Linked DNA regions of Schizosaccharomyces pombe. The gene in region 2 interacts genetically with the main gene of each other region. Each region holds a gene or a part of one and is shown on either strand. Other genes may lie near its edges.

Region 1 (4,424 bases), 2.3 Mb from region 2:
ATGAAGAAAAAATCTCCTCTCTGCGTATAGAATTAGAAGACAAGTTAGCTGAAATTGACATGCTTCGAAATAAACTGTTAAAGGAAGAGCATAAACACCACTCTACATCTGAAAAACTTGAAGAACTTTCTAAATATGTTGCAAGTATTCAAGATAAAGAAAGAAATAATGGCCAGAACGCATTGGAACTACAAGCTCGAATCCAACAGCTGGAACGGAGAAATGAAGATATGTATAATAAACTGTTAGCAGAAGAAATAATCAGACGAAAGCTGCATAACGACATTCAAGAACTAAAGGGAAATATTCGAGTTTTTTGTAGGGTTAGACCACTACTCCCAAGTGAAGAATCCGAATATTGCATTGCTGATGTTTTACAATTTCCAGATAAAGACGCACTAGAGCCACAAAAACTTATTCTTAAAGGGCCTAATGTTGAATCATCACTCGGGCATACTTATGATCGTAATTATGAATTTTCCTTTGATCGAGTCTTTGCTCCTGAAAGCGATAACTCGTCCGTTTTTGAGGAAATATCACAGTTAATTCAAAGCGCTATTGATGGTTATAATGTTAGTATATTTGCATATGGACAAACAGGATCGGGTAAGACGTACACAATGTCGTCACAAGACGGTATGATAGCGATGTCAATTAAGCATATATTTAATTATCTATCAACCTTGAGGGAGAAAGGGTGGGTGTATAAATTGAGAGGTCAGTTTTTGGAAATTTACAATGAAACGATTTATGATCTATTAAACAAAGCGGAAATGTTGAAAAATCCTAAGCACGATATTCATCATGATGAAAAGGAAAGACGAACAACAGTGGATAACGTTTCAATAATTGATTTTAATGAAGAAGATACTGTTTACAAGATGCTAAATCGAGCAGGAGAAAATCGATTTATAGCAGCGACAAAAGCAAATGAACGGTCTTCAAGATCACACACTGTTTTCATGCTGTATATAGATGGTGAAAATTCTAGAACCAAACAAATATGTAAAGGTACGCTAAATCTAGTTGATTTGGCAGGTTCTGAGCGGTTAAGTTACAGTCAGGCAGTTGGGGATAGACTACGAGAAACGCAAGCTATTAATAAAAGTCTCAGCTGTCTTGGCGATGTTATCCATGCACTTGGAAATGCCTCAAATAGTACCACGAAGGAAAAGTCTCACATACCATACCGAAATTCAAAGGTGAGTATTAGAATGAAAAGTTCTTTACGAAACACGTTCTTTAACTGTCAAAGTGGCTACTTATTTGCTTTGCAGCAGTGTGTAAAGTCTATATTGAAAGCATTTTTGTACTAACCAGACATTAGCTAACTTATTTGTTAAAATATTCACTTGGAAAAGGTGCCAAAACCCTGATGTTTGTTAATGTGTCTCCTTTAAAGTCGCAATTCATGGATACATTAAATAGTCTGCGATTTGCAACAAAAGTCAATGATACAAAAGTAGGTTCTATTAAACATTATAAACGTTAAGCTTATTTTAGAGTAAAAAATGTTTACCAAAGCATTTAAGATGCTGGGTTTGGTGGAGCAGCTGCTGCTTGTGCTTGAATGATGGCACCTTTAACTTTGCTGAATTCTTCTTGTGAGATTTTTGTTTGATTTTCGAGGCGTGCACTATAATTATGAATTAATAAAATGACATACGCAATTCGATAATACAAATGAAGAAGTACAACTCGCATTTTTAGAGAGCGATTTTAACCTCAAGGAAATTCTTCTTTTTCAAATTTCAACAAACATACATTTCTTTATTAATGAAATCCAATCTTGTTTTAACGTTGGTCTTTGCTTCCTCATGACTTTGCTTTACAAGGGTAGGACCGATTTGCTTATATATATTTGAGTCAGGAGCCACTTTTTCCAATTCCTAATTCGCATTAACAAAACAATTCTAATATAAATGGAGAAAATAGGGAAAATAGTAATTTTTGTGGCCTTAACGTACATTGAGGACAGTAGTGTTTTCTTGTAATTGGGTTTCCAACTTTTTTAAACTTTCGACATAAGTGCTTAGTTCTTGGGAATTTCGTTAATTATTTAATTCGATGCAGAAGGTTTTGATTTACCTGTTTGTAGGTTCTGATATTTTTTAGCTAATTCCTCCATTTCTATTCCTGTGTAAAAAGACGTAAAAGGATAGTAGGTAAAGAGACATTCTACTTACCTTGAAAGTCAGCTGAAATAGCGAAGTTCGTTGAAATTCTATATTATGAACAAAATATATTTTAATTGTGTGATATGATTGATTTTATGACTATATTGGATAAAAACGAGAAATAAATAAAACCGAATTAATTTAAACAGAGAAATGTAAGCTACACTAGGAAATCGATTTATGAATGAGTGAATGAAGGTGTTGCTGAAATTTTGAGTAAAGACTCACTGTTTTGATACAACAAAACTACTTGGTTCAGTATATAAATTAGTGAATTGCAAACCTTTTTTTTGAATAAAGGATATGAAAAATATTGTTTTAGTTCACTTCTCAACTGCATCCTTCTGGAATTAACAATTCGTAAATAATGAAACCGTTTTAATGAATACAAAAATGTCTTATTAATATTCAAAGATATAAAGGAAATATTTTGAATGGAGATAAAGCTTCAGATATCATTGTTCTTTAAAAATAAATAGAAATACCATAGTAGTTTGTAAGCTTAGATCTTCTTTAGCTTGAAAATTTGGGAAAGACAATCTAGTGGGAAAAAAAGGATAAATGTATAAAATAGATTAAAAACAAAGAAAAGAAAAAAAAATAAGTACTTTTGTCGTAAAAGTTATAGATTGATGAATTAGAAGAACATCAATTTGTCATATTACTCACACTTGAATTTCCTATATATATATTACATTTTAGAGCAGCCGCTTAGAGCGGCCTCGTGGCCTAGAAGTAAGGCGTTGGTTTCCGGTGGAGGAGACTCCAGGTTCGCCAAAGATCGCGAGTGCAAATCTCGCCGTGGTCGCTTTTATTTTTTGCCTTCTAGAAAAGGAATTATTATATTAAGCATGAGTAAGATAATATTCCATCTAAGCAAATTTGCTGTCAACTTTGAAAAATTACTATATTTATCCTTGAATTTGTTGTGAAGTATAAATATTACCATATAGAGGTTTTGAAGTTAATTATATATGTAAAGTTCTCTTTTTTTTTTATTTTGTTTATTCATTTCATAGAAGTAAAAGGAATTATAAAATAAAATAAACTATTTATAAAATATTTGGTAGAAAATAATAAGTTTGCACTATTATCAAACGAAATTGTGAAAAAGCATATTAAGCACCGCTATATGCCTCATCAGCAGTTACATCTAATTATTGTATTTGTTTCAATTAAAGAAATTACATTAATGCACTTTTTGGGGATAAATTTTCTTACTGAAGACATACATTTCTCCTACTAATGTCAATAACATAAACAAATATAACTTACTAAAGCAACATCAGTTTCAAAGATCATCGAGAAGAAGTGGGACTACTTTCATATTAATTATAAAAAATAAGGGAAACATGTAAATTATAATAAAATATCCGTAGCTTTACCATTTTCTAGTAACACATAATCACTACCTTGATTACCAAGCTGTCTACAAGGATGCTTGCTAGAGCGATGCTAATAAATGCAAGTTACAAAATAAGAAGAAATTATATTTATAAAAAAATTATAAAGAATAAAAAAAATAATAATCATGTATAAAAATCTACACTTTTTTATGATGCTATAGGAGTACACGCCTTAGTCGTTTTAACCTAACCGGAACACACATGTCAACTCTCGAAGAATTAGACGCGCTAGATCAATCCCAGCAGGGAGGATCCTCCAATAATGAAGGTTTGGATGGAATTGAACAAGAAATTTTGGCCGCCGGTATAGATGAATTGAATAGTCGGACACGATTGTTGGAAAATGATATTAAGGTAAGTCATTCAATGAACCTCTAGATAAGTGTTGGGAAAACCGAAATCTTTTTCTTTTATAATTTCTTTATTCACAGAGAACGAAGATCTGATAATGTTTTGCCCTCATCCTTAAATGAAGGTGGAAAGATGAATGCGGTCGAATGTTCTTTTCTAGAAGTAAAATTCACTAACATAGATTGTAGGTTATGAAATCCGAGTTTCAAAGATTAACTCATGAAAAGAGCACCATGCTCGAAAAAATCAAAGAAAACCAAGAAAAAATTTCGAATAATAAGATGCTACCTTATTTGGTAGGAAACGTTGTTGAAATTTTAGATATGCAACCTGATGAAGTTGATGTCCAAGAATCAGCTAACCAAAACTCTGAGGCTACTCGTGTTGGCAAGTCAGCCGTTATTAAGACATCTACTCGTCAAACCATCTTCCTTCCCTTAATCGGTCTTGTTGAACCTGAAGAGCTTCATCCGGGTGATCTTATTGGTGT
Region 2 (4,916 bases):
GTATTTGGCTTGGTAAAATTAAATGAAAACTGAGGAGCAGTTGTTGTTACATTTTCAGTATTAGGTTTTGCAAACGAAAATGGAGTAGAAGCTTTAGCTGACAAACTGTCATTCGCTTCATCTTTCCCTTTTTTAGCAAAAGAAAAGGAATTTGTAGGTGGGACTTCTTTGGACTCCTTGGTCAAATTGAATGAAAAGGGTGATGAGCCTGCGGTATTTCCAAAACCCGAGGACGGTTTTGATTCGGGAGCTGACGGTTTTGACTCAGAAGCAACAGTAGAACTAGCTAGACCATTTTCAGAAGTTTTTTTGTCATTGAAAATATTGCTTGTTGGCTTTCCAAAACTACTTCCAAAATTAAATTGTAGCGTAGGTTTTGTTGTGTCTTGTGTACTAGAAGCATTGTTTAAAGAGAAATTGAACGTAGGAGCTTTCGTTTCTTCCTTCTCTTCAAGGGTTTTAGGTGCGAATCCTCCAAAGCTGAAACCAGAAGTTGAAGCAGGAGCAGACGGAGCGTTGTCCTTCTTTTCTGTTTCTTCTCGTTTTGGACTTAATTGAGAAAAAAATGAAGGCTTGTTCTCAGTTATACTTGGCGTCTCTTGAGTCTTTGACGGTAATTGTGCAAAGAACGTTGGCTTGGGCTCATTCTCCTTCAAACGATTAGTTTGCACATCAGCAGTAGCAGTTGGCTTAAACTCAAATTTGGGTACATTTAATTTTTTGTCCGTGGTAGCTTCAGTCTTCGGTTCAAACTTAAATTCGGGTACTGAAAAGTGAGAAGATTTGATTTCCTTAGAAGGTGATGGCGGTTCAACTTCGGACTTTCTAGTTGTAGATTCTTTTGTCGGCGATGAGGAAAATTGGCTTTTGGGCGCTTCTGTATCCTTTGACAATGGCTGATGTTCAAAGGTTTTATTATCCTCAGCGTTCGCGAGAGTAAGTGCCGTATCATTCGGAGAAGTCTTTACAGGCTTAGGGGTAATAGAGGCTTGAAGCTCTTCAAAGGTAGGGGCGGACTTCGTCAATAAACCCTTGTCACTTGTATTATCCTTGGGAGATGCTATTATAGGTTCTAATATACGCTCAGATTTTGGATTTTGTTTGGGTAATGCGGTGTAATGAACGTCATCTTCGCAAGCAAAGATTTCATCCAAATCCTCATCAACTGCAGAAAAAGCCTTAATATGACCTTTCTCGAGAGTCTGACGCTTACGCGAAGTGGGTGTACTTAACCGGTGATAAATATCTTGCTTATCAATAAACATTGTATTACCGGGGTTGGAATCTGTCTGAACTTCTGCATTGACTAATACAGGCTTCCTTAAATCCATCTGTTCAAGAGTTTCATAAATGATAGGGATAAGCCGCTGGTGTCTACGACGTCGCCGAGAGGAGCGGTGAGGAACGTGATTTTTTGCTGAGACCTCTGTTTCGCCATTCTCCTTATCTCTAATGTCGGTAAGACTCTTATGGGAATCATTTCCAGAAAAGCTTTTGTTCTGCTTAGCTGAGGGCTCGTTTTCAGAGGCACGAGCAACAGATTTCTTTTTGGAAAGCATAGGACTGGGACTTCTAGAAGGCTTGCGCTTCTCACAAGTAGGATTAGCTTCGGTAATACGATCTTGTTTTACACTTGATATATTTAAGGTATTTTTCTGCTCATCGTGAAGTGACCGAAGGATATTGAGCAATGAAGCAGAGGATTTGGGAGTTGCAATTTGATGTTGAGAAGTGCTGCCCAACTTTTTGGATAAAGCAGAAGAAGGATGAAGCGAATTAAGTGATTTTAACGACAACTCGTCATGGCGTTTAAAAAGCGTTGGGGAATTAGTATAATCTTGCTTTTGCTTTGGCTTCCTAGGTTCAAATGTATTCGTATGAACTTTTTCCTCTATTCCATCAATTGTTCTAACATGGCTCCGATTACTAACGCGAATAATTCTTCTATTTAATGTTAATATGTTTCACGACAAAAATGTCAACTTACGGAGATTTTCCTAAATAATGAGGTGTTAACTCTGGAGTAAGCAGGCTTTTTGTACCTGCTCTTCCACTCTTTCTATCCTTGCTAGCCGTTCCTGAAGCTTTCTCGTCTAGACCACTGGTGAATGGGTGCAAAACAGATGAAAATGCCCGTTTCAAGACCGTAAAAAAGGGCCTTGAGCTCCCCTGAGGTGGGTCATAGGGTTTCTTAACAGTCTTTGATGAAGTGCGAGTATTTTTTGAAACAGGAGGCATCAATACAAACTCATCGACAACTACTAGAAGACGTTGGTTAATGAGAAGTAGCGAGTTTAGTTACGTGGCAATTATTTTTCATGCTAATGACTTATTGATTGTCTGGTAGCGCTATTTGTTATATGCCAATATCGTAGTCGTAGGAACTGTACGACTATTGTAACACGTTTCGTAAAAATGTTTAATACGAGAAGAAAGGGAGTTATTTGAAGGTGTTAAGCAAGATGGAATATGTTAATACAATTTGTTTTCGGTTTAAAAAAATGGGATATCAAATTCTATTTAATCTCGTTACCAGTAAAGTGGTGATTGCAACAGTAGTCCACGAGCCTTAGCTTCGTCAATATTCGCTTTATCAAGTTTTAGGCTGTCTAATATTCTAGCAACTTACTTGCAATACTTAAATTCTTCCGTTTAAATCAGCTTACATTGTATGAAGAAATGATTAGTTCTATTTTCATAGAAAAACACTTAGGCACGTACTGTCTAATCGTACGTAATTGGAATTTCGCTTTACTATCATCTATAGTAGTGTTGATTAAAACAAGTGCCTCCCATATAGCAAGGCAGCGTTCATTGCTAATCATATTATGCAAATATTCACTTAATTAGTATATTAATCAAAAAAAAGCTACCAATATATACCTATAGTAACTGAATAGTGGGATCACCTCATATAACTATTAGTATGTGTCTACTTATTACTGAGATGTCACATACTATGTAGCTATTTGAATATTTCATAACCATCAATTCAAAAATTGGTGGAAGACAAATGTTTTTTCCTATTTTTCTATTCCTAAATTGTATACAAAGTAGTTCGTTATAGAGATCATTGAAGGCATGGCAAAAATTGTTTACTAGACATTATGAATTTCAGTAACAGATCTTTGGTTCAATAGTGGATAAATAATATACTCAATAAATATAAAACCATGAAAATCTTAAATATAGCAAATTAACTAAGGCATTGAAAGAAATTTGTCGATCCTGGTTCTTCCAAACTACTATTAACGTATATTCAACTTAAACTTCAGCTTGCCGTTTACCAAGCACTGCATATTTGGGTTCTGCCAGCTTTCCCTTTCTATTGTCATGATTTACGCTGTTTTTATATTTAACAATAAAGGGAAACCTCGTCTCACAAAGTTTTACACTCCAATTGATGAATCCATTCAACAAAAGTTAATAGGAGATATATATGCAGCTGTATCCACTAGGCCCCCAACCGCTTGTAATTTTTTGGAAAGTAATTTAATTGCAGGTAAAAATAGAATAATTTATCGCCAGTACGCTACTCTCTACTTCGTTTTTGTAGTAGATGAAGGTGAAAGTGAACTAGGAATTCTCGATCTCATTCAAGTAAGTTGAAATTAGTTACTTTCCAATTTCTAACTATTAAAGGTATTTGTTGAAGCATTAGATCGATGCTTTAATAATGTTTGCGAGCTTGATTTGGTAAGTACATTTCACTACTCGTTTATCTTCCCATTATCCTACTGCTATATGTTTGAAACCATTGATTCCGTTTTTTTTTATTTAATTTGTTTTTTTCTTATTTGGTTTCGAATGTTTGGAAATTTGGCCTTACAAGAAACATTAATGTTTGTCCAATATTCGATTATCAAAAGAGCATAACATTTATTTTTATCATTTATTGAACTTAGGAACTACAAGAGTTTAATTCCTAATTCCTTTACTTCTCATCGCCTTCAAGAAAGAAATTATGCATAGAACTGGAAGTAGAGTCTCATTGTCGATGATTCGCAATCTCCAATGAAAAAAAAGAGGAGGTGTTAGTAATAATTATCCAAATACAAGTGTATACGCCAAAAAAAAAGGATATTGAAGGAAGAAATAATTAGAAGAGTTGAAAGCCATCTGTTTGAAAGCGAATTAGAAAGATCTAACACAATATAGGTTTTTAAATTCCAAGAAATACATGCTATTCTTGCTGAGGTAGTATCTGGTGGTCTTGTCTTAGAGACAAATCTGAATGAAATTGTTTTGGCAGCTCAGAATCAAATGCCAAAAACCAAACGGTCCAATGCAATGCCATTCAGCAATACATTAAGTTCTTTTGCTACTAGGTTCTAGTGACTTTTATGTATATGAAGAAGATGCATGAGTATTGTTCACTAGAAGAACTGGATAATTATAATCACCATAACGCATCTGTTTCGCTTGATTGTATAATGGTTCCATTTCATCGTCTATTTCAAATTGGAGCCCATTTTCGAAATGTGAAGTTGACATCCCTGGGATAGAAAAGTAGGACTTATTTGATTGTGGAGAGTTTTGACTATTGTTAATGAGACGCACTCGAGATTGATCATATCGAGAAATCCAGTATTTCGATTGACCTCCCTGACTGTACCGAAGACCATGACTTGTTCTATTAATCCTTCCATCGTTTCTTGAAGGTATTAAGTTCTCCCCAGGCTCAAAATTTTGATATACATAACGATCTCCATGTAGAGTTTGCAAACTATCGCACCAGACGTCTTTCAACCCGATTACGTCTTTAAAGGCTTTAAGGAGCGGTAGTCTTGCACAAGACAGCCATGTGGGTGTATCGTAATCCTCGATTCGAAAAGCGTACCAATGTGAGAGGGCAAAAAAGGGCATTTCTAAACACATGAGAACGTTCTGATTTAGTAAGGAGTAAATCCAGCCTG

What was found. Genes that interact genetically often act in the same process or in processes that back each other up.
Region 1: mutations in nup124 (region 2) and pfd6 together harm fitness more than expected from each alone (negative genetic interaction), as found in Schizosaccharomyces pombe (one large-scale study listed by BioGRID).

The regions. Positions count from the first base shown.
Region 1 is NC_003424.3:3,440,160-3,444,583, forward strand, and holds pfd6 (prefoldin subunit 6), read right to left. Parts: upstream 2,161-4,424; 5' UTR 2,129-2,160; coding exon 2,089-2,128; intron 2,039-2,088; coding exon 1,968-2,038; intron 1,959-1,967; exon of another isoform or gene 1,890-1,958; coding exon 1,765-1,889; exon of another isoform or gene 1,637-1,764; coding exon 1,528-1,636; 3' UTR 1,493-1,527; downstream 1-1,492. Other genes in the region: kinesin-14 family minus-end directed microtubule motor Pkl1, read left to right, coding at 1-1,202, 1,328-1,492; proteasome regulatory subunit Rpt5, read left to right, coding at 3,785-3,937, 4,123-4,424.
Region 2 is NC_003424.3:1,109,536-1,114,451, reverse strand, and holds the start of nup124 (nucleoporin Nup124), read right to left. Parts: upstream 2,278-4,916; 5' UTR 2,239-2,277; coding exon 1,988-2,238; intron 1,945-1,987; coding exon 1-1,944. Other genes in the region: AP-3 adaptor complex subunit Aps3, read left to right, coding at 3,334-3,600, 3,643-3,696, 4,159-4,335; transporter Hfl1, read right to left, coding at 4,342-4,916. UniProt on the Schizosaccharomyces pombe protein: Nucleoporins may be involved in both binding and translocation of the proteins during nucleocytoplasmic transport. In S.pombe it is required for the nuclear localization of retrotransposon tf1.